4 linked regions of the Arabidopsis thaliana genome follow. The protein of the gene in region 1 interacts with the protein of each later gene in a pairwise test. Each region holds a gene or a part of one and is shown in the gene's direction. Other genes may lie near its edges. The genes, in order: IAA6, ARF8, LSMT-L and NPH4.

Region 1 (3,717 bases):
TCCCTCGCAAAATTTGCGACGGAAAAGCGACGTGTCTTCTCTCCCTCGCAAATGTCTCGCAAATCTGTAGCAATTTGCGAGGGATTGTTTCCATCGCAAATTGTCCTCGCAAATCGCTTGTTTTCTTGTAGTGGTATTTGGAAGTTTATAAGGTTTATCAACTCCAACTTAAATACTTCTTCCGTCTTTGATACTAGATGTTTAAATGTTTTGCACACAAATTAATTAATCATTTATTTTTATTTATTTTTTAAACTAAAAATCATTTATTATGTACCTAAATACGATTCAACAAATAATAAAACAACCTACAGAACTTAAATCGTGAAAACAATTAAAAAAATTTACATTGAAAGTTGAAAACATTATCTAGTTTAAAACACATTTTTTTTCTTCTCTAAAATATGAAATATATAAAAATATCAAACTGAATCATTCTTTTTTCTTCTTCTTATGATCTCTGTCTTTCTGTTAGATTATATATATGAGAATCTTATATTTGTATATATCTAATATCTTAGGAACAGATTTATGCTTATCTCATGTAACCCTATATATATGTTCAATACATAACTCTCCATTCACGGAGATTCATACAATTACACTTTCATTATCATCACACTTGTAAATACTGAATTTTATAGTTGCCTTCATGATTTCGAACTAGATATATATTCTGTTGGTTCTGATTACATTTATATACATAAATTTATTCCAAGTTGCGTGTTATTTATTTGATCAGAATTAGTATATGACCCAAAAATAAATATTCAAATCAAAGTTCATGCGGTTTCATCATTTAGCTACGCGATGTAGGAACATACTTGACATCTTATTTTTATTTGGTCGTTCTTCTCTATGAATCACGTGGAAAAGTATACCAAATGATTTTTGGCAGATACGTATTACTAAAGTATCCGAGATTAAATATTAATACACTATATAGAAGAATTAATGGGACATAAATCATAAATGCATGGAAACATTGGTGAAAGACACTTAACACTTGGGACGACCAATGTTGTTTGATATGAAGTGAAATTAACGCGTCTGCCTAATTGTTATGGTTCATATTATGTCACATGGACCAACTTCTTGTTCTTCTTCATTCAAGAACCAACTCACGTACACGTTTTTTCATTTTCTTCCCTCAAATATCTAGCTGTATATTATATTGCAAAATCCAGATTTGAATATGATCGATGCAAAAGATTGTTTATAGAGTAGAGTAGTAGACTAAAGAACCAGATTACTCTTACCTATTCAGATTATTTGTGTTATATTTTGTAACTAACTTAGGTCACTAAGTAACGAATTTAAAGCTAAATGCATCTATTCATTCTATCACAAAATCCAGCCGTTATTTTTTAGAAATGTGAACAAATATTAAGCATTAAGATATTTAAAATAGGAAAAATAATAGCCACAAATAAAGTAAATTAAAGAAGAAAAAAAAAAACATTAGTGATAGTCCGATGATAGACGTGTCCTATTGATTACATGTTATTTCCCACTCAACTTCCTTAATTCTAATTCCAATCCTTGATGTGAGGGTTTTTTTCTTCATTGATTCTCAAATCTACATTATGTGATTCTTGATGTACCTGTATGTACAATTTGTATTCAACTACCAAATAAAAATGTGAGCAAGAATAGGCTAAGAAATAATACTAATACAGTATCCTTAGAATACATAATTGTATATTATTAAGGATAACACATGTAATGTTTAGGAAAGATGGCCAATGATAAATCTTATAAGAAACCTAACAAATATTAACACCGGTAAGATTTGTTCTCTTAAAACAAATCCTATATAAACAAAAATGAAGAACAAGGACCCAACATATGTCTCTCATGTGACCGACCAACACATCCTCAGTTGACCTGTCTTTGGTCTAACCTTGTCTTCCTCCACAAAGCTAACAGAAATAATTATGAATGTTAGTCTCTTCCATGTGTCAGTATATTATTGGATCTTGTTGGAGCAACTTGACAACATATAAAAGCACGAGGCAGCTCAATACTATCATTCCAACAAGAGAAGTGCTTGAGAGAAAAAAAAAGTATCAAAACTTCATATAGCCAAATTTAAACAAAAAGAAAAAAGAGAAGAAATAAATGGCAAAGGAAGGTCTAGCACTCGAGATCACAGAGCTTCGATTGGGTCTTCCAGGAGATAATTATAGCGAAATATCAGTATGCGGATCGAGTAAGAAGAAGAAGAGGGTGCTCTCGGATATGATGACCTCATCAGCGTTAGATACTGAGAATGAAAACAGCGTCGTTTCATCAGTTGAAGATGAATCACTGCCGGTTGTGAAGAGTCAAGCGGTGGGATGGCCACCTGTGTGTTCTTACAGGAGAAAGAAGAACAATGAGGAAGCATCGAAAGCTATAGGCTACGTGAAAGTGAGCATGGATGGTGTGCCATACATGAGGAAGATTGACCTTGGTTCGAGCAACAGTTATATTAATCTAGTCACGGTTCTTGAGAATCTCTTCGGCTGTCTTGGCATAGGTTAGTAATGGCATGGACTAATTTCCCGTAACGTTAGTTAATAGTTACATGACCATGTTTATAATTGAGCTATAAACTTTATATATACGTATTGTTAGGGTTTCTATATATATTGGAAGTGTGAAGAGAGTAAAACACATATATTAGTTGGAACTTTATGAAATATAACACATGTATATATAAACTATGCAGGAGTGGCGAAGGAGGGTAAGAAGTGTGAATACATTATTATATACGAAGACAAGGATAGAGACTGGATGCTCGTCGGAGATGTACCTTGGCAGTAAGTTTATGTTTAGCTTGCATTACAATGCTCAATTATCAAATTTACCAAAATGAATATAATTAACCTCTTACAAGTCAAAAATTTGTAATTTTATTTTTTAAATTGTAAATTTTTTTTGTCGGCAGGATGTTTAAAGAATCATGCAAGAGGCTGAGGATCGTGAAGAGATCAGATGCAACTGGTTTTGGTCTCCAGCAAGATTAATCATACTAGCTAGTGTTGATCATCTTTAATTAACCATAAAGTTTGAAAACCGTTGAGTAATTTTTTTTCATTATAATCATTTTTCAAATTGTAAAATTTATATGATAATGATGATATATACGTTTTCTTCAAATGTATTTCCTTACTGGTCGTATCATACTTTAATGTTTTATGGCTCATTAAAGGTGTTTCTTAGCCTCACAATACTTTTTTTTTTCGTCTGAATGATTCATATGAAATATAACACTTGAAATTGTTCACAAAAGTACAAAAGGAAACGAGGGTAATCAACTACAAAAAAACCATAACAACAAAGTAATGCCTCACAATAGTTTGCTTTAGTAGTTTTCTAGACTTACTATTATTTTCTCTTAAAAATCAAGTGGTACGTGATTATTATAACTTTATAAATCCTCCGGCTAAATCATCTTTTTATCGCCGATCCAAAGATAGTGGAAACCTATGAATCTTAAACGGAGCTAAAAATAGTGAAAACCTAATGAATCTTCCCAACTAATTTAAGAAAGAATGAAAAATGTTAAATATTTGTTTTTTTCTTTCACCAAGAGCCAAATTAAAGCTGGCTTATTCCTATATCATATCAAATGTAGTTTTGGGTGAAGATTCTAACCACTTTGTCGGTCCAAATAAATGTTGCCATATCTTCCGTATTAAATGATCATATCAGTTTGCAGGTAGCAGATTT
Region 2 (7,541 bases), on another chromosome or scaffold:
TAAAATTGTCTTAGTTCATTTTTCATAAAATTTAAACAATTGAATAAAATCTTTATAAGTTAATATCAGTATACATTAATAAAATAGCATGGTACTAACATTATCAATTTATAGATGTTTTATTGTATTATTGATGAGTAAATATGCATATTTATGTCCACTGAAAATAATTAATTGATAAATTTAAAATATATTGAAATTATAGTAATCTTAATTTTAAATTTAATTTCATGTAATAGTATTTGTTTTGTGCCCATGATGATGAGCCCATATAATTTGACATCATGTTGTTTTAAAAAATCAATCGTTGAGTTATATAAATGATTGCGACGTATCGCACGATATTACCATCGATAGAACGAAGGAAACTTCCATTTAGCAGTTTTTTTTATTCAAAAAACATATCTTTCATATAATAGAAGTGGAAAAGTTACACCAAGGAAAATTGAACCTACAATCGAAATAAATGAGATAACAAAAGTATTACAATAAATTTATTGAAAGACACCAAACCAGATGAATGATCCGTTGAGCTATCCAACAAGGGTCTAGATGACATTGAAGAATGTTAATGATAAATAATGAGAACTGAGGCTGGCTTTGAGGATGAATTATGCAATCTTGCATTGCGCTTTTTTCCATATGGAGTACAGTGAGGCTTGATAGGCAATTCGAAGAATCAAAGTAGTTTTCTTGTCACGACAAGGATTCTTCAACCATCTAACTTCATCCTCAAATTGATTTAGAGGAGAAAGATGGGCTTTATCATAGAAATAGTGTCATACCTTTGCAACATAAGAGCAGTCGAAGAATAAATGTTAGCGAGATTCATCCATCAAATTACAGAGAAGACACGACGAAGGAGTAGTCATGCCCCATCGAATCATTTTGTCTCTAGTGAGAAGTCTATGATGAGACTTTAGCCAAGCAATGAAAGCATGCTTAAGAATCCTTCCTGGAAATCACACAGATTCAAACCGATCCATCTTTGTGTCAGGAGGATGAAGATGTGCATAAGTTTTTTTTTGAATATTAATGTGCCTAAGTTTTAGCAGCAGAGAAAATATTTGATGCATGGATATCATCACCTTCCAAAGGTAAACATCATCCTCTACATCCTCTTGTAAGTTAACAGTAGAATAGGAAGGAAGACATTCTTTAAGCAACTGAATAATGGGACTGCGACTTCGAGAATTTGTAAGCCACTATTGTCTCTTTCTCAATGCATCCGCAACCACAACAGAACGAGGGAGAAGAGAAATTCTTAGTCATAAATCTTCAGGTTAGCTCGACAAATATGGTCCCAAAAAAATCCAATTATCAGTCCAGAAATTACAAGTTATTTCTGAACCAATTTCACAAACGATGAAAAACCTAGTTAAGGGTCTTAACTTGCAAAGATTATTCCAAATCCAGCTTCTCCAAGTGATACACTCCATATCCCAAATTTTTTAAAAATTATTCAAACAAGATCCATGTGTATTAGTTTTCTCTTTTGGTAAGTAAAATAGTGGTATCCATAAGATGTTGGATTATCGGGCATCTATTTGCTAATGATTGTTTCTAAATTAGAACTTAGATTTGCGAATCTAATAATACATCACTTATCAATAGATAAACCTTTGACCATTTTTTCAACGAACTCATAAAAGATCCAACAAAATATTTTTTGAGTTATTAAATTAAATACTACTATAAATTATCTTTAAATAAATCAAATTATGGGAGTATTTGGTGTTTCTTTCATCAATGAATGGAGCAAAAATAAAAAGTATTTAAAATAAACAACGCTAACATTTATGACAACTCTATTATCTCTCTCTCACTCTCTCACTTCAAATACTATAATTCATTGTCCTTTTCATCGAATCCAAGACCTCAAAAAAAACAATTATTATTTTTCAACGATCAAGATCTCAAGAGTCAAATCCAACGGTCAAAAAGAAGTGACTCTGGTACTGACACCACCTCTCATAATTCTCGTTAGTAGGACCTCTCTTCTTCTTCCTTCTCTCCACTGTATCGGATCCGGGTCAAATCCGGGTCGGGTGGAGTCGGGTCGGGTCTCTTATAAGAGGAGGAAAACCACTTACTCACTTTCTTCTTCTTTTCTCTCTCTCTTTCACCCCCACGCACTCTTCTTTTCTCTCTCTGACACATATCTTTTTCTCTCACTAACCATTTCTTTCTCTCTCTCTCTTCTGTTTTTGAAAGCCAAAGTGTCTCTCTTGGACAGTGATGGAACTGCTTCAAGAGATTTAATTTTTTACCCACGAGAGAAGTCAAGTTGTTGAAGAAGAAAGATTTGTTCTTTTGTCTTGTTTCTTTCATTTTTTCATCCACAAAGATCTCAAAGACAAGAGTTTTTTTTTTTCTGTTGGGGTTGCTTCAATGCGTACTTGTAGTAGAGAGCTTGTGTTGTTGTTCATGGTTTGATGATGAGAAGAAACAGATTCTGGTTTTGAAGAAATGGGGTTTGTTCTGTTTCTTGTGTTTAAGGGTTTTATGGATGGTTTTTTGATTCGAAGCTTTCACTGAGTCTTATGGTTGTGAGTGAGATTTTTGGGGGTTTGAACAAAGGAGATGGAGAAAGACGAGTTTGTACTTCCGGAGCTAAAGAGTTATAGCTACTGTAGTAGCTGGAAGTGAAGAAGATTTTTTAATAGATTGTACGGAAAAATTAGGGTTTTCAAAGTTTGGTTTCTTGAAGTTGAATTAGACATGAAGCTGTCAACATCTGGATTGGGTCAACAGGGTCATGAAGGTGACTTGTTTACTCTCTGATTTTCTTAGTTCTGTTTCTGGACAAGTGTTTTCTTAGTTCTTGTGTCTGTGTTTGTTCTAACAGGAGAGAAGTGTCTGAATTCTGAGCTATGGCATGCTTGTGCTGGACCATTAGTCTCTCTTCCATCATCTGGTAGTCGAGTTGTTTACTTTCCACAGGGTCACAGTGAACAGGTTTGGGTTGTTGTTTAAAAGTATGGAGCTTTATTTTTAGACTTGTGTTATATTTGGGCATTTCCATTTAAATAGAAGTGTACTTGTAGGTAGCTGCTACAACTAATAAGGAAGTTGATGGTCACATACCCAATTACCCAAGCCTACCACCACAATTGATATGCCAGCTCCATAATGTTACAATGCATGTGCGTAGTTAGTTCCCTGTCCCTTTCCATATTCAATTTTTACTTTTGTAAACTAGTTTTGGGATGATGTGCTTTGTAAGTATGGGTTTCGTTTCTACTATTTCAGGCAGATGTTGAGACGGATGAAGTCTATGCTCAAATGACACTTCAACCATTGACACCGGTAGATACATTATACATAACAGGTTTTTGAGTCTGTGAATTAATAACTTAAGCTTTAGGATTGGTGTTGTTTATAGGAGGAGCAGAAGGAAACATTTGTACCGATTGAGTTGGGGATACCGAGTAAGCAACCTAGTAATTATTTTTGTAAGACTCTCACAGCTAGTGATACCAGTACACATGGAGGGTTTTCTGTTCCTAGACGTGCTGCTGAGAAAGTGTTTCCTCCATTGGTATTATACTTTTTCTTTTACTTACTTTGCTATAAATTGTTGTTGAGAAAATATATGTATTCCTTTTAATATCTTGTGTCTTCCCTGTTGCAGGATTACACACTGCAGCCACCAGCTCAAGAACTGATTGCAAGGGATCTCCATGATGTTGAATGGAAGTTTAGGCATATCTTTCGGGGTAGGTTTCACCTTTCCTCGGTGTGCGTTGATGATCCCTTTTTAACTGTAGTCGCCAGTGTAAAAATTTCAATTGGCTGTTAAGTATGTCTGAAGCAGCATCTGCTGTTATTTTCACTACTCATGTGTGGTTTAGTTGAAGAAACCACGGAGGCTCTGTGTTCTTGTCGTTGTCTATTATAACGTGGAATTATTTACTTGTTCATATGAAGTTAAGTTGATTTGAATCCTTCTTCTTGGTTTGTTAGGAATAACTTACATGGTTTTGGTGTGATTATGCAGGACAGCCCAAACGGCATCTCCTAACTACTGGATGGAGTGTCTTTGTCAGTGCCAAGCGACTAGTAGCTGGAGATTCTGTCATTTTCATCAGGTTTAGTTCTTTTGTTGTACGTTCAGTTTGTGGATTGTGATTATATTTGTAACACTATTACTTGTTTCCAGGAATGAAAAGAATCAACTCTTTTTGGGAATTCGTCATGCCACTCGGCCGCAGACTATTGTACCATCATCTGTTTTATCTAGTGATAGCATGCATATTGGACTCCTTGCTGCTGCTGCACATGCTTCTGCAACTAATAGCTGTTTCACTGTTTTCTTTCATCCAAGGTTGAAAAATCTCTCCCACCTGCATCTTTTTCATCTCTCGGTATATCCGATAATATATCCTACTAATATTCTCTTCATGTTCAGGGCTAGCCAATCTGAGTTTGTGATACAACTTTCCAAGTACATTAAAGCCGTTTTTCACACGCGTATTTCAGTTGGGATGCGCTTTCGCATGCTCTTCGAGACAGAAGAGTCGAGTGTCCGCAGGTGATGATGCCACATATCTGGAAATGCAATCTTGAAACTGAGAAAACTATATCATTATGTTACACATATTACTTTAACATGTTTTCTGACAGTGGCATGGGGAACTTTCCAGGTACATGGGTACTATAACTGGTATTAGTGATCTAGATTCTGTTCGTTGGCCAAACTCTCATTGGCGATCTGTGAAGGTAACAACACTATTAAGCCTGTTACCTTATTTAAATTCCATGGAACGTCACACAGCTTTCTGATGATTTAGTCCAATATTACTCTGAAATTCCATCAACATTGATGAACTGTGGCATTATTGGTGTAGGTTGGTTGGGATGAATCGACTGCAGGGGAGAGACAGCCAAGGGTTTCTTTATGGGAGATTGAGCCTCTGACTACCTTTCCTATGTATCCATCTCTTTTTCCTCTCAGACTAAAACGTCCATGGCATGCTGGCACATCATCTTTGCCTGGTATCCACCTTTTGGCTCTTCTCCTAACTGTTATTAACTAGTATAGTACGTTCGTGAAGTCTCTTACTGTCACTCAGTGTTTCTGCTATTGTAACTTAGTTGCTACTTCGGATAAATAACAAATGTTCGATTGAGTAGAGCTCTGAAGAGGGTCTTACTGTTATAATTTATTTACAAAGAAGTGTGTAGGTACTCTCCATAGCTATTTACTCAAAACATTATGATGTTACAGATGGAAGGGGTGATTTGGGAAGTGGTCTAACATGGCTAAGAGGGGGAGGTGGAGAGCAGCAAGGTTTGCTTCCTCTAAATTATCCATCTGTTGGTTTGTTTCCATGGATGCAACAAAGGCTGGATCTCAGTCAAATGGGGACTGATAATAATCAGCAATACCAAGCAATGTTAGCTGCTGGGTTGCAGAACATCGGCGGTGGAGATCCTTTAAGACAGCAGTTTGTACAGCTGCAAGAGCCTCACCACCAATATCTTCAACAATCAGCTTCCCATAATTCTGATTTGATGCTTCAGCAGCAACAGCAGCAACAAGCGTCACGCCATCTCATGCATGCTCAAACACAGATTATGAGTGAGAATCTTCCGCAGCAGAATATGCGACAAGAAGTTAGTAACCAACCAGCTGGACAGCAGCAACAGCTACAGCAACCGGACCAAAATGCATATCTTAATGCTTTCAAAATGCAAAATGGCCATCTTCAACAGTGGCAGCAGCAATCAGAGATGCCATCTCCCTCGTTCATGAAGTCAGATTTTACTGACTCAAGCAACAAATTTGCAACAACTGCTAGTCCGGCTTCTGGAGATGGCAATCTTTTGAATTTTTCTATAACCGGTCAGTCTGTACTCCCTGAGCAGTTAACAACAGAGGGCTGGTCTCCAAAAGCATCCAACACTTTTTCTGAACCGTTGTCACTTCCACAAGCCTATCCTGGGAAGAGTCTTGCTCTAGAACCCGGAAATCCGCAGAATCCCTCTCTTTTCGGTGTTGATCCCGACTCTGGACTCTTCCTCCCCAGTACGGTTCCCCGCTTTGCTTCTTCATCAGGAGATGCTGAAGCTTCCCCTATGTCACTAACAGATTCAGGATTTCAGAATTCCTTATATAGCTGCATGCAAGACACAACTCATGAGTTATTGCATGGAGCTGGACAGATTAACTCGTCCAACCAAACCAAGAACTTTGTAAAGGTGCTGGTTTGTTCTAGGCTCACCGACTTCTCTGTGGCTCTACTGTCTCTAAGAAAATACTGATATGCTTACAAATCCAAAACTGCAGGTTTATAAATCTGGTTCGGTTGGGCGTTCATTAGACATCTCCCGATTCAGCAGCTACCACGAGCTGCGAGAAGAGTTAGGGAAGATGTTTGCTATCGAAGGGTTGTTGGAAGACCCCCTTAGATCAGGCTGGCAGCTTGTATTCGTTGACAAGGAAAATGATATTCTTCTCCTTGGTGATGACCCATGGGAGTAAGTAAAGTACTCTTCTTCTATTTGTATACATTGCTTTAGATTTGAGATAGATCTTTAAAAGCTTGTTCTGCAGGTCATTTGTGAATAACGTTTGGTACATAAAGATACTATCACCAGAAGATGTGCATCAAATGGGAGATCATGGAGAAGGCAGTGGTGGGTTATTCCCGCAAAACCCGACCCATCTCTAGAAGCTGCTTCGGTGTTAGTCTCATCATGCTACAACGCGGGAGCCCTTTGTTTCCCATTTGAAGTCGTTTCCACTCATCTTTATATGCCATTCGTTCGCATCTCTCTCGTTTTGACGTTTTTAGAAAGAAACATAATCATATTTGTGAGTATGGGTCCTGAAACTTTAGGACGTACTTTAGCTTGTATTAGACAGACACTCTCGTCATAAACATAAGAACCTTTATGTAGCTGTCTCAGGGTAACTAAACTTTTCTAGTATTTATTCTTATTCTATTTTTGTAACAACATTGTTAGACATTCAGTTTGGTCAGACCAATTAGATTCCATAAGGTGTGAAACCAAAACCAACCAAATCTTTAAAACACAACCATTAATCACAAAATGTTACCAAAAGCTTCTACTAGTAACTTAGGTTGAAGAATGACATAGATGAAGTACCAACAACTCATTTTCTCCCTTTCTTTTTGACCCAAAGAGTACTTAAACGTGCACACACATCAGACTTATCAACCTTGGACAGCATTCATGGCATCTCTCAATCTCTTATCATCTTTAGCATCATAGAAGCATTTACGTCTCTTCGAGTCACTTATAAGGTTTGCCCAAATCGAACCACTCCGAGCCAGTGTTGACTCATTTCCAATCACCCATAAACAGTGCCTAGCTCGAGTGAGTGCCACATTGGCTCTTTGACGGTTACTGAGAAATCCAACCTTCCCGTTACTATTACTTCTAACGGTAGAGATGATGATAATGTCTTCTTCACCACCTTGAAACCCATCTACAGACCGAACATTCACAGTGAAAAGCTCACCTGATAAGGAACTGTACTTATCTCTGATTCTCTCTTGGATTGCTCTAAC
Region 3 (4,650 bases), about 15 Mb from region 1:
AAAATTAGTTATCTGTAAGATCAAACTAATTAAGTTTTCGAGTTATTTATGCCTCATGGACAGTTGTGGAGCCAATTTTCATATTTAACATCATCTACATTTGTTATCCTATAAAGGCTACGGTTTAATTTCTGAATACTAAGATTCTATAAAAATATATTTTTTAAAGAGTCATGGAGACAATAGTGAGTAGTTGACAAGGAATCTGAGTCTCTCCTTATTAAATGTTAGGCATATACTGTTTGTATATAAAAGTTAATTAGCCATCCATTTTGACCTTCTCGAACTAAAGGAAGCCTTTTCACCTAGCCATAGAATATACATATACAATACCATTTGTAGTTAAATTTAATAACTATCCTATTTATATGAGTTTTTAAAAAAAAAAAAAAAAGAGTAAAGGTAAGATATCTGTTTGGCAACGAACTAAGAAAATATATTTTAGAGGGATGAATTTTGTTGACCAACCTGAATTGTGTCAATCCGACCACCACATCATGTCGTCATCCCGATATTGACCGCGTTTTGTGGTTTTCGTGAGAAGTGTTTTCTCAGTCTCTGATTTAAAATTGCGATTAGTGAGTTGTTTTTCAGGTTTACCACACGAGTTTCGGCGCGACAAGCGGTTCCGTTAGAAGAGTTTATGTTCTTGACATTTGATATTTTGTATGACAAATTAGTACTTATTACATTTTGACAAAGAAAAATACACTCTATTGAAACAGTCTAATTGCATATTAACAACTAAAACAGTCTTGTTGCCAATTTTGGAATTTTGAACAATTTTTGAAAGTAATGAAAAGTCATTCACGTGTCTCCCATCTCAAACTTAACACGTTATATTAGCAAAAGTAAACTGATCTTAATCAATATCGACGTTGTACCTTAATTTCATGGACCAAGTTATTGTCTAAAACTTAAAATAGCGGCCATTTCGACGGAAAAAAGTAGCAATAAACTTTGGTTTTCTCGTTAATAATTAAAGTTATATCAGAAACATATTTGGAATTGATCATAATCTTAATTAAGCCGAGAGAGTGTAATAGGTTTTGTTTTGTTTTTTGATAAGAGTGTAATAGGGTTTCTGATAGGTATCACATTACACATGTACCTTACTGGTCTCATATCCCGTGGTCAAGCCGGCAAAACAAGAGAAAGGAAAGTTCCGCTTTTACATGTGATTACTACGTACGTACCATTACCTATATTACAAAGTAAATTACTTGTCTTCTACGTTGATGGAGAATAGTGGATCATTGTACCCCCTAAATTACAAATTTAAGACTAATTTCTATTTGATTAAGAATAGTGAATAAGACTTGTATATTTGATTCTTCAATTACAATAAGTATTTTAGCACACAATTAAATATGAACTACTTAAACACATAATTAAATCAAAAACATTTGAATTAGACCACTTGATATTATGATGATGATGATGATTATGAAGGTATGTGTGATATGGTGGGTACATACTACATATATGTCTCGGCCAATCTCTTTTGTTGTTGTTGTTGTTGTTGTTGTTGTTGTTGTTGTTGTTGTTGTTGTTGTTGTAACATGTTGCATTATCTTGGAGGAATTTAGAATGAATATTGGGATCTCCATGAGATGTTACCTATTTAAAACTCAAGTGTCAAGTCAGTAGATTTGAGGTTGAAGCTATAGTTGACCATTTTTCTTCTTACAAAGGTTGAGATGACAAAAAAAAAAAAGAAAAAGAAGTTGAAGCTACCATAAGTTAAAAAGATAATTTTTTAAAAATGAAAATAAATACAGACAATTAACAATTTAATTACATCAGAACAAAAATAAAATGTAGGCCTTGGCCTTTTAGAATAATGGGCCTTTAACATTGGTAACTAGAATAACTAGATTTTTGTCTCATCAACAACTTAGAAAAAACTGATGTGATATTATTGTTATCCACACACTCTCTGTTTCACTGATACTACCCGCCATCGGAAAACCACCATGTCAGCCTCCGTCGCCGTCGTGTCGGGTTTTCTCCGTATCCCGTCAATTCAAAAGTCTCAAAACCCTTCCTTTCTCTTTTCTCGACCCAAGAAATCTTTGGTGAGACCCATTTCAGCTTCAAGCTCAGAGTTGCCGGAAAATGTTCGGAATTTCTGGAAATGGCTCAGAGACCAAGGAGTCGTATCCGGGAAGTCTGTGGCAGAACCTGCGGTGGTACCGGAAGGTTTGGGACTTGTAGCCAGGCGTGATATTGGAAGAAACGAGGTCGTATTGGAGATTCCCAAGCGATTGTGGATAAACCCAGAGACAGTGACTGCTTCCAAGATTGGACCTTTATGCGGCGGATTAAAGCCGTGGGTTTCAGTAGCTCTGTTTTTGATCAGAGAGAAGTATGAAGAAGAGTCTTCATGGAGAGTTTATCTTGATATGCTTCCTCAATCTACTGATTCTACTGTCTTCTGGTGGGTTTTGTCCTTCTCTGATCATCAATTGTATCTCTGATCAACACTAAGCTGATGAGATGTCTTCTTCGTGAAATGTCTCCAGTACAGGTCAGAAGAGGAGCTTGCTGAGCTTAAAGGTCCATTTTCTTACCCTTTTCTTTGAAAAGTCTGATCATTGTTTAGATTCATACCAATTGGTCTGAGTAGCAGTAGCTGATGATGATGTACATTATTAACTTTGTGGTTACTGTTGTTTGGCTCAGGGACTCAACTGTTGAGCACCACATTGGGTGTGAAAGAGTATGTGGAGAATGAATTCTTGAAACTGGAACAAGAGATATTACTGCCTAACAAAGATCTCTTCTCATCCCGCATAACACTTGATGACTTCATATGGGCGTTTGGGATCCTCAAGTCGAGGGCTTTTTCTCGTCTCCGTGGCCAAAACCTTGTCTTGATCCCTCTTGCAGACTTGGCAAGCTATCTTCTTGTTTCAGATATTGTCTAGTGAAAACTTCAGAAAATAATCTTCATTCATTGATGCTTGGCTCAGCAGAGAATCTCTGACTTCAATGTTTGAATTTGAACAGATAAACCATAACCCCGCGATAAAGACAGAAGATTATGCATACGAGATCAAAGGAGCCGGCCTTTTCTCTAGAGATCTCTTATTTTCCTTGAAGTCACCTGTTTATGTTAAAGCAGGTGAGCAGGTATGCTCCAAACACTGTCTACTTAGTTTTCTCCCTCAAGAGTGTAAGAACAAGCCCTTTAATACTGTTTGGATGATCTCTTCCATAGGTATACATTCAGTACGATCTGAACAAAAGCAATGCAGAACTTGCTCTCGACTATGGTTTTGTGGAATCAAACCCTAAACGGAACTCATATACTTTAACAATAGAGATACCAGAATCAGACCCATTCTTTGGGGATAAGTTGGATATTGCTGAGAGTAACAAGATGGGTGAGACCGGATACTTTGACATAGTAGACGGCCAGACTCTTCCCGCTGGTATGCTTCAGTACCTTCGGCTTGTGGCTCTTGGCGGTCCAGATGCTTTCTTATTAGAATCTATCTTCAATAACACCATATGGGGTCATCTTGAATTGCCTGTAAGTCGTACAAACGAGGAACTCATATGCCGTGTTGTCAGAGATGCCTGCAAATCTGCTCTGTCTGGTTTTGATACGACCATTGAAGAGGTATATATGTTCGAGCTCTTACTTGTACTGTCTTTGCAGCTTAACACTCATTTCTTACTCGTCTTCATCGTCTGTTGTAGGATGAGAAGCTTCTGGACAAAGGAAAGCTTGAGCCTAGGTTGGAAATGGCTCTCAAGATAAGGATTGGTGAGAAGAGAGTGCTTCAGCAAATCGACCAAATCTTCAAGGATAGAGAGCTTGAACTTGACATTTTAGAGTATTACCAAGAGAGAAGGCTCAAAGATCTTGGGTTGGTTGGCGAACAAGGGGATATTATCTTCTGGGAAACCAAGTGAGAATTAGCTTAGCTTGTATAGCTTATCCTGCAGAACAAACTCAAGGCTAGAAAGAAAATCTTTACTGGTTTGGTCTCAGACCACATAGACTTGAATCAACCTCAAGACATCAGAGTTGAGAGACCACAATTTGTATGTTAGGCTATTGCCAAAAGCAGGCTTTTTGAAATTCTATAAGATGAGACATAATCTTCTTTTTAGTTACATCTTAATTTACGTAAAACTAAATAAATCAAGATCAGCAACTATGCAGGAAAATTGAAAAAAATTACAAACAAAAATGGAAAAACTCAGGGAAGGAACTATGCAGCTCCCGTTCAAGTGTTTGACATGCCGTCCTCTTGCGGAAGCAATGAGATATAATATGCTAAAAACATGACTTCAATGTGTTAAATTTCTATGGCCAAACAGGTCGTGGCAATTTGTACCTTCACAAAGACATTCTTGAGGATTTGCGTAGAAGTAATCTTCCTCCTTAGGTTTGTCAGAGATTACTCTTCGATGAGTAGGTGCTCCTGCTCGTCTCTCATGGGCTTCCTTGACTGCTACTGCAAACTGATCCCACGTGAGGGTCTTGTTGTGATGTAAGTCTAGTAGCTCCACGAGTCTCTTACGGTCAAGCAGGATTGTCTTCTTATATCCAAGGTATCTGCAAATTCAAATCAGATATAGACCAATAATGGTTATATAGAATCACAGGTTTGGTTATTCTTAACACCACCTTTT
Region 4 (7,663 bases), on another chromosome or scaffold:
TATGAGTTATTCATCTTGTTCATTTTCCACTTTCCACTGCGGACACCATACGGACACACAACCGGTTCTGAAATGCGTCACGCTCTTCTTCCTTTCATTCCAACTTTAATACATGCATGAAGTCGTAGTTCGGAGTTCATACTAAATTTCGGTCACTTTGTAATAAGAAAACTATTAACATTTTTCTTTTTCTTTTTTTAAACGTTAGCTAGGCCTCAAAGTTTCACAAAAAAAAAAGAAAAAAAAAAGCTAGGCGTCGAAATCCATAACTTCAAAAGGCCTTCTTACATTCATCCAATCTCCAAACTTCTGTCTTCACGCATTTATTGCTCAGGGACATCATGTCGCTACTCACTGCCACTTATTTGAATTGACATCCATTCATTCCATACATATATATTACCTTCACTTAAAGTTGTAAGTATATAGAATTTTAAGCATTCCTGCCAAATAAGTTTTGGATCGAACCTAAACTAACAAAGAGGTTACTGTTTTGTAACTTTCTTTTTTGATGTGGGGTCATTCAAAGGGTTTACATGCATTTTACAATGGTCTGTGATGAATATGGAGGTTCAGTCTTTGGTAGATAAAACTTGTTATGTGGCCTTAAACCAAATAGATTGTAGTTTGTACAATGACATATTTATGGTTATATTCGGTTTTCCAATATGTTTAGGAATATATATCACCGTTTTTTTTTGGGTAGACATTTTAACGATTATAGAGGAAAATTTTGAATGATGGCTGTACTGGGAAAAGAGTGTAAGTTGTGATCATCATATGTAATTTTATTTTGTGTGACATTATAACACTTCTTCCAAAAGACAAAAGTTTAGGTTAATTAATATAAGAAACCAATAAAGAATCATGAACAAAGAGAGAACTTCTATCATTTTTGATATGAAATCGTCCGTTAAAATATTGTTCTTTGTGATCGCATATGCTGTATGTACTTAGATTTGATCAATTAATCAACATTTACAACAAAATAAGATCAATTGTTTATAATGATGATCTAAGCGAATTTAGATTTGTTTGTTATTATAGAACTCATTACTAAACATTTAAGTTCCATTCTCGTTTAAAACATGAACGCTAGTTTATGAAACTCAGAACCAACCATGTAAAACTCCACAAAATTTCTAGTAAAATGCTTTTGTTCAAAATAATGAAAATCATAAAATTTTTTGATGAATTATGAATCCTAAAATCTATCTGAATTAAATATAGTTAACTACAAAAGAAATTGCCAAACATATATGTACGCACTTTGATCAAATAACTAGCTAGTCAGCTTAGTTTGTTTTTTTCAATACATCCCCTATAAATCTATGTTATCCCTAATCAAGTATTACAATAAATGATACAGTAATAATAACCTTAATGAAAAAAACTTATCAAATTATCAGAGATAAGGAAAAAGAAAACACTAATAAAGTTGTTTTTTTGTGTGTCAAAGTTAAAATTTTAGAGGACAATAATAACATTAAGAAATTAAATCGTGGCCAGTTTGCTAGTGAATATGTCGGCTTCATGAGCATAACTAAATAGGTATAAAAAAATAAAAATATCGGAAAAAGAAAAGAGAAGGAAAAAAAAAGGAGAGGAAGAAGAAAAAGCTGTTCCTGTGCTTTAGCAGACCTTTTGGTAGTTGTCCTGGTCGCTGATCATCCCTTTCCGACAACTCTGTTGCTCTTTCTCTCACGTTTGAGTCTTAATCTTCGATTGTCCTTGGTCATCCTTAAGTTTTGTTTTTCTCTTTCGATTCATTTTCCAGATTTCTTTTTATAGAAACCCGTCTCTTTGATTTGATTCCCCCCAAGAAAGGAAAGCAAAACAAAGAAGAGCAGCTGAATCAAGTAACTTTGTGGGTGTTTTTGAATTATCTGACTCGAGATAAAGAGCTTCGTTAAAAACGGAATCTTTTTTAAGGTCGTATGCTTTGTTTGTCTCTCCGGAGATTCCGCGTGTGAAAAGTCGTGGTTTTTGATCTCTTTGAGATACTTAAAATTTCCGAGAAATTGGCGGCTCTGTCGGAGATAAAAAGCTGAGATCTTGGAGTTCCCCATTTCTGATTAACGATTCTCTCTGCTGTTACTTGAGCTAGGAAGCTATTAACAACTTGAGTGAAAGTTTAGGGCTTTTGATGAAGCTCTCACGCAAAGAGCTTAGCTTTGTATAAGCTCAGATTCAGATTATTTATTGGGTTTATTCTTCAGAGAAAGTAAAGTTGAGTGATCATGAAAGCTCCTTCATCAAATGGAGTTTCTCCTAATCCTGTTGAAGGTTTGTGTGTTTCTCGTATCTGATAAATGTCAATCCTTTAGTAGAAGAAATTCATTGCTGGATTTGAATAGATTCAAGTTTTAAGTAGAAGAGGTCACACATTTCTTCAGAATTGCTGGATTTGAGAACCTGAATTGAATTGGTTTCGGTCATTTTCTGCTTAGAGAGTAAGCTAAGTTACTATTGTATTGGTTTATAAAGACTGTGGCTTTTAGTTGGTTTAGAGCAGTTCTCTCCTATCTTGTTGGTTTGATAATAGTAACTGAATGAAGATCCTAGAGATTTTAAGTAATCACAGCTTTGATGTTGTGTGAATGCAGGAGAAAGGAGAAATATAAACTCAGAGCTATGGCACGCTTGTGCTGGGCCATTGATTTCGTTGCCTCCAGCAGGAAGTCTTGTTGTTTACTTCCCTCAAGGTCACAGTGAGCAAGTATGTTGTTCAATAAAGTTTGGTATCATTCGCGGCTGATCAAGAATGAGTCGCTGATTGGAAATTTCATGTGGTTGCTATTTATTTTTCTGTTTCTTAGGTCGCGGCTTCAATGCAGAAGCAGACTGATTTCATACCAAGTTACCCGAATCTTCCTTCCAAGCTCATATGCATGCTCCACAATGTTACACTGAATGTATGGTATCTTTTAAATATCTATAATGGCCTCTTAGGCTAGTTGTTTTAACATTTTTTGCTTTTGAGTTGCTAATGTTTTGCTAATTGTCGACTGTGAACCAGGCTGATCCTGAGACGGATGAGGTCTATGCGCAGATGACTCTTCAGCCAGTAAACAAAGTAGCTTACCTTTCACTGAATAACTCGATTTATAGGTGTATTTAAGGAGTAGGGAGGGACTAATTGCTCTGAGCATTTTGTTGAACAGTATGACAGAGATGCATTGCTTGCTTCTGACATGGGTCTTAAGCTAAACAGACAACCTAATGAATTTTTCTGCAAAACCCTCACGGCGAGTGACACAAGTACTCACGGTGGATTTTCTGTACCCCGACGAGCTGCTGAGAAAATCTTTCCTGCTCTGGTGTATATACAATACTTTCTTATACATCTGATAGTTAGTATCTCTGTATTGCCTTAGTTTCTTACATTGTTGGCAATATTTTACTAGGATTTCTCGATGCAACCACCTTGTCAGGAGCTTGTTGCTAAGGATATTCATGACAACACATGGACTTTCAGACATATTTATCGAGGTTTTACCTTGTTTTTGGTAGATTACCTTCTTTAATCAATTTGGCTTTCGTAGAATTGTTCTTACGTTTTGGATATGTTGACATTTATCAGGTCAACCAAAAAGGCACTTGCTAACTACAGGCTGGAGTGTGTTTGTCAGCACGAAAAGGCTCTTTGCTGGAGACTCTGTTCTTTTTATAAGGTATATCAATCTCAATGTGCCAATGCTCTCTTTCGGTATTTTTTTTTGTCAAGATGCTAATTCTTTTTTTCTTTCAATTAAGAGATGGAAAGGCGCAACTTCTGTTGGGGATAAGACGTGCAAATAGACAACAGCCTGCACTTTCTTCATCTGTAATATCAAGTGATAGCATGCACATCGGAGTTCTTGCAGCTGCAGCTCATGCTAATGCTAATAACAGTCCTTTCACCATTTTCTACAACCCGAGGTGGCGATCTATGTTTCCTTTTGTCTACGTTAACCTTACTATATATGCTTGTTTCATGGCAATTGCTGAGAGATTTACAACCGAGTTTTTTCAGGGCTGCTCCTGCTGAGTTTGTGGTTCCTTTAGCCAAGTATACCAAAGCGATGTACGCTCAAGTTTCCCTCGGTATGCGGTTTAGAATGATATTTGAGACTGAAGAATGTGGAGTTCGTCGGTATATGGGTACAGTTACCGGTATCAGTGATCTTGATCCAGTGAGATGGAAAAACTCTCAGTGGCGGAATCTTCAGGTAGTTTGAAGTAAAACTCATGATGAATGTCAGATTTGTCTTTCTTGATACATTGCACCATTCATTTTAGTTATGCTTTGTTTCTGTTTCTGCTAAAGATTGGATGGGATGAGTCAGCTGCTGGTGATAGGCCCAGTCGAGTTTCAGTTTGGGACATTGAACCGGTTTTAACTCCTTTCTACATATGTCCTCCTCCATTTTTCCGACCTCGCTTTTCTGGACAACCTGGAATGCCAGGTAAATTTTTGTACCATTTCATTTCGACACAACTTCTTTGAATCTCCTCAAGGACGGAATTTCCGGTGCTCTTGCAGATGATGAGACTGACATGGAGTCTGCACTGAAGAGAGCAATGCCATGGCTTGATAATAGCTTAGAGATGAAAGACCCTTCGAGTACTATCTTTCCTGGTCTGAGTTTAGTTCAGTGGATGAATATGCAGCAGCAGAACGGCCAGCTACCCTCTGCTGCTGCACAGCCAGGTTTCTTCCCATCAATGCTTTCGCCAACCGCGGCGCTGCACAACAATCTTGGCGGCACTGATGATCCCTCCAAGTTACTGAGCTTTCAGACGCCGCACGGGGGGATTTCCTCCTCAAATCTCCAATTTAACAAACAGAATCAGCAAGCCCCAATGTCTCAGTTGCCTCAGCCACCAACTACGTTGTCCCAACAACAGCAGCTGCAGCAATTGTTGCACTCCTCTTTGAACCATCAACAACAGCAATCGCAGTCTCAACAACAGCAACAACAACAACAGTTGCTGCAGCAGCAACAACAATTGCAGTCTCAACAACACAGCAACAACAATCAATCGCAGTCTCAGCAACAACAACAATTGCTCCAGCAGCAACAACAACAACAACTGCAGCAACAACATCAACAACCGTTACAGCAACAGACTCAGCAGCAGCAGCTAAGAACACAGCCATTGCAATCTCACTCGCATCCACAGCCACAACAGTTACAACAACATAAGTTGCAGCAACTTCAGGTTCCACAGAATCAGCTTTACAATGGTCAACAAGCAGCGCAGCAGCATCAGTCGCAACAAGCATCTACACATCATTTGCAACCACAATTAGTTTCGGGATCAATGGCAAGCAGTGTCATCACGCCTCCGTCCAGCTCCCTTAATCAAAGCTTTCAACAGCAACAACAACAGTCTAAGCAACTTCAACAAGCACATCACCATTTAGGTGCTAGCACTAGCCAGAGTAGTGTAATTGAAACCAGCAAGTCTTCATCCAATCTGATGTCCGCACCGCCGCAAGAGACACAGTTTTCACGACAAGTAGAACAGCAGCAGCCTCCTGGTCTCAACGGGCAGAATCAGCAAACACTTTTGCAGCAGAAAGCTCACCAGGCACAGGCCCAACAGATATTCCAGCAGAGTCTCTTGGAACAGCCGCATATACAGTTTCAGCTGTTACAGAGATTACAACAGCAACAGCAGCAGCAATTTCTTTCGCCGCAGTCTCAGTTACCACACCATCAATTGCAAAGCCAGCAGTTGCAACAGCTGCCTACTCTCTCTCAAGGTCATCAGTTTCCGTCATCTTGCACTAACAATGGCTTATCGACGTTGCAACCACCTCAAATGCTGGTGAGCCGACCTCAGGAAAAACAAAACCCACCGGTTGGGGGAGGGGTCAAAGCTTATTCAGGCATCACAGATGGAGGAGATGCACCTTCCTCTTCAACGTCGCCTTCCACCAACAACTGTCAGATCTCTTCTTCAGGCTTTCTCAACAGAAGCCAAAGCGGGCCAGCGATCTTGATACCTGATGCAGCGATTGATATGTCTGGTAATCTTGTTCAGGATCTTTACAGCAAATCCGATATGCGGCTAAAACAAGAACTCGTGGGTCAGCAAAAGTCCAAAGCTAGTTTAACAGATCATCAACTAGAAGCATCTGCCTCTGGAACTTCTTACGGTTTAGATGGAGGCGAAAACAACAGACAACAAAATTTCTTGGCTCCAACTTTTGGCCTTGACGGTGATTCCAGGAACAGCTTGCTCGGTGGAGCTAATGTTGATAATGGCTTTGTGCCTGACACGCTACTCTCGAGGGGATATGACTCCCAGAAAGATCTTCAGAACATGCTTTCAAACTATGGAGGAGTGACAAATGACATTGGTACAGAGATGTCTACTTCAGCTGTAAGAACTCAATCTTTTGGTGTCCCCAATGTGCCCGCCATTTCGAACGATCTAGCTGTCAACGATGCTGGAGTTCTTGGTGGTGGATTGTGGCCAGCTCAGACTCAGCGAATGCGAACTTATACAAAGGTTCGATTGTGCTCTGATCTATGCTTGTTGATATTTGGGTTATGTTTTCGGTTTGACAAATGTTAAATTTTCCTACAGGTGCAAAAACGAGGCTCAGTGGGGAGATCAATAGACGTCAACCGTTACAGAGGTTACGATGAGCTGAGGCATGATCTAGCGCGCATGTTTGGGATCGAAGGACAGCTCGAAGATCCTCAAACATCTGACTGGAAACTTGTTTATGTCGATCATGAAAATGACATCCTCCTCGTCGGCGATGATCCATGGGAGTAAGTAGAGAGCAATTACATTCACACATCAGACTGTTAGAAGTTCCATTATTTTTTTGCTAACCTTTAAAATCGTGATTTTTGCAGAGAATTCGTAAACTGTGTTCAGAGCATTAAGATCCTTTCATCAGCTGAGGTTCAGCAGATGAGCTTAGACGGGAACTTTGCCGGTGTACCAGTTACTAATCAAGCTTGTAGTGGCGGTGACAGTGGCAATGCTTGGAGAGGTCATTATGATGATAACTCAGCCACTTCGTTTAACCGGTGATGGCAGAAGAGTTCTCTCACAGACAAAGATTCTTTTTTCTTCGTTTTGTAATATAACTTCTCGTTGATAACATGTCTCAAGTTTCCACTGGGCACTGTAGAGCATTTACCTGTAAAATATCTTCCACTAAGTTTACACGGAGATTTTATTTGCTGTGAGTCACTGTTTCTACCAAGTTTAACTGATCAACTGAAACCGCTTGTAACCAAAAAGAGAAGGAAAAACATGAAATCAGCAATAAAATCACATTTTCAAACTCAAGTCTTTATTCCAGATTATGCTCAGGCCGTTTACGGAAAAAATTTCCACAATTGGGATACAAGTTGCAGATTACAAAGATATAACATAACTAAGAAAGTATAGCCATCACATCTGAAGCTCTGAGGGCAATGTAGTTGGAACCATCTTTGCCCTTGAAGTCGTTACCAGCATACTTGGAGTAAAGTACTGTGCTTCCGGTTGATACTGGTAGAGGCGTAATTTTACCTTCCTCGTCTAGGGAACCCGGTCCAACTGCTATCACCTGCCATAAAATGAAGAGGAGAATATGTATAATTGGAACTTGTGTATGAACTGACTATCACATCAAGCTACTAAGAAAGTATCAGATTCCCCGAATGGA

Evidence for each region.
Region 2: the proteins of IAA6 (region 1) and ARF8 interact in a two-hybrid assay, tested with the Arabidopsis thaliana proteins (2 studies listed by BioGRID).
Region 3: the proteins of IAA6 (region 1) and LSMT-L interact in binary tests that used the Arabidopsis thaliana proteins (3 or more experiments, as listed by UniProt).
Region 4: the proteins of IAA6 (region 1) and NPH4 interact in a two-hybrid assay, tested with the Arabidopsis thaliana proteins (2 studies listed by BioGRID).

The regions. Positions count from the first base shown.
Region 1 is NC_003070.9:19,671,964-19,675,680, reverse strand, and holds IAA6 (indole-3-acetic acid 6), read left to right. Parts: upstream 1-2,028; 5' UTR 2,029-2,121; coding exon 2,122-2,521; intron 2,522-2,713; coding exon 2,714-2,804; intron 2,805-2,932; coding exon 2,933-3,011; 3' UTR 3,012-3,205; downstream 3,206-3,717. UniProt on the Arabidopsis thaliana protein: Aux/IAA proteins are short-lived transcriptional factors that function as repressors of early auxin response genes at low auxin concentrations.
Region 2 is NC_003076.8:14,627,430-14,634,970, forward strand, and holds ARF8 (auxin response factor 8), read left to right. Parts: upstream 1-2,023; 5' UTR 2,024-2,721; coding exon 2,722-2,764; intron 2,765-2,848; coding exon 2,849-2,958; intron 2,959-3,047; coding exon 3,048-3,146; exon of another isoform or gene 3,147-3,252; coding exon 3,253-3,309; intron 3,310-3,385; coding exon 3,386-3,541; intron 3,542-3,634; coding exon 3,635-3,719; intron 3,720-4,000; coding exon 4,001-4,091; intron 4,092-4,162; coding exon 4,163-4,327; intron 4,328-4,411; coding exon 4,412-4,534; intron 4,535-4,646; coding exon 4,647-4,722; intron 4,723-4,850; coding exon 4,851-4,998; intron 4,999-5,230; coding exon 5,231-6,204; intron 6,205-6,292; coding exon 6,293-6,483; coding exon of another isoform or gene 6,484-6,487; intron 6,488-6,559; coding exon 6,560-6,677; 3' UTR 6,678-7,025; downstream 7,026-7,541. Other genes in the region: AT5G37030 (P-loop containing nucleoside triphosphate hydrolases superfamily protein), read right to left, coding at 7,185-7,541. UniProt on the Arabidopsis thaliana protein: Auxin response factors (ARFs) are transcriptional factors that bind specifically to the DNA sequence 5'-TGTCTC-3' found in the auxin-responsive promoter elements (AuxREs). Seems to act as transcriptional activator.
Region 3 is NC_003070.9:4,804,767-4,809,416, reverse strand, and holds LSMT-L (Rubisco methyltransferase family protein), read left to right. Parts: upstream 1-1,899; 5' UTR 1,900-1,976; coding exon 1,977-2,440; intron 2,441-2,530; coding exon 2,531-2,559; intron 2,560-2,685; coding exon 2,686-2,897; intron 2,898-3,012; coding exon 3,013-3,135; intron 3,136-3,223; coding exon 3,224-3,628; exon of another isoform or gene 3,629-3,708; coding exon 3,709-3,924; 3' UTR 3,925-4,111; downstream 4,112-4,650. Other genes in the region: AT1G14020 (O-fucosyltransferase family protein), read right to left, coding at 4,306-4,573. UniProt on the Arabidopsis thaliana protein: Protein-lysine methyltransferase methylating chloroplastic fructose 1,6-bisphosphate aldolases. Can also use with low efficiency gamma-tocopherol methyltransferase as substrate, but not a cytosolic aldolase.
Region 4 is NC_003076.8:7,016,082-7,023,744, reverse strand, and holds NPH4 (Transcriptional factor B3 family protein / auxin-responsive factor AUX/IAA-like protein), read left to right. Parts: upstream 1-1,631; 5' UTR 1,632-2,240; coding exon 2,241-2,286; intron 2,287-2,606; coding exon 2,607-2,719; intron 2,720-2,819; coding exon 2,820-2,915; intron 2,916-3,019; coding exon 3,020-3,076; intron 3,077-3,164; coding exon 3,165-3,320; intron 3,321-3,407; coding exon 3,408-3,492; intron 3,493-3,583; coding exon 3,584-3,674; intron 3,675-3,756; coding exon 3,757-3,924; intron 3,925-4,015; coding exon 4,016-4,211; intron 4,212-4,309; coding exon 4,310-4,448; intron 4,449-4,525; coding exon 4,526-6,504; intron 6,505-6,582; coding exon 6,583-6,773; intron 6,774-6,860; coding exon 6,861-7,041; 3' UTR 7,042-7,275; downstream 7,276-7,663. Other genes in the region: CPN20 (chaperonin 20), read right to left, coding at 7,391-7,564. UniProt on the Arabidopsis thaliana protein: Auxin response factors (ARFs) are transcriptional factors that bind specifically to the DNA sequence 5'-TGTCTC-3' found in the auxin-responsive promoter elements (AuxREs).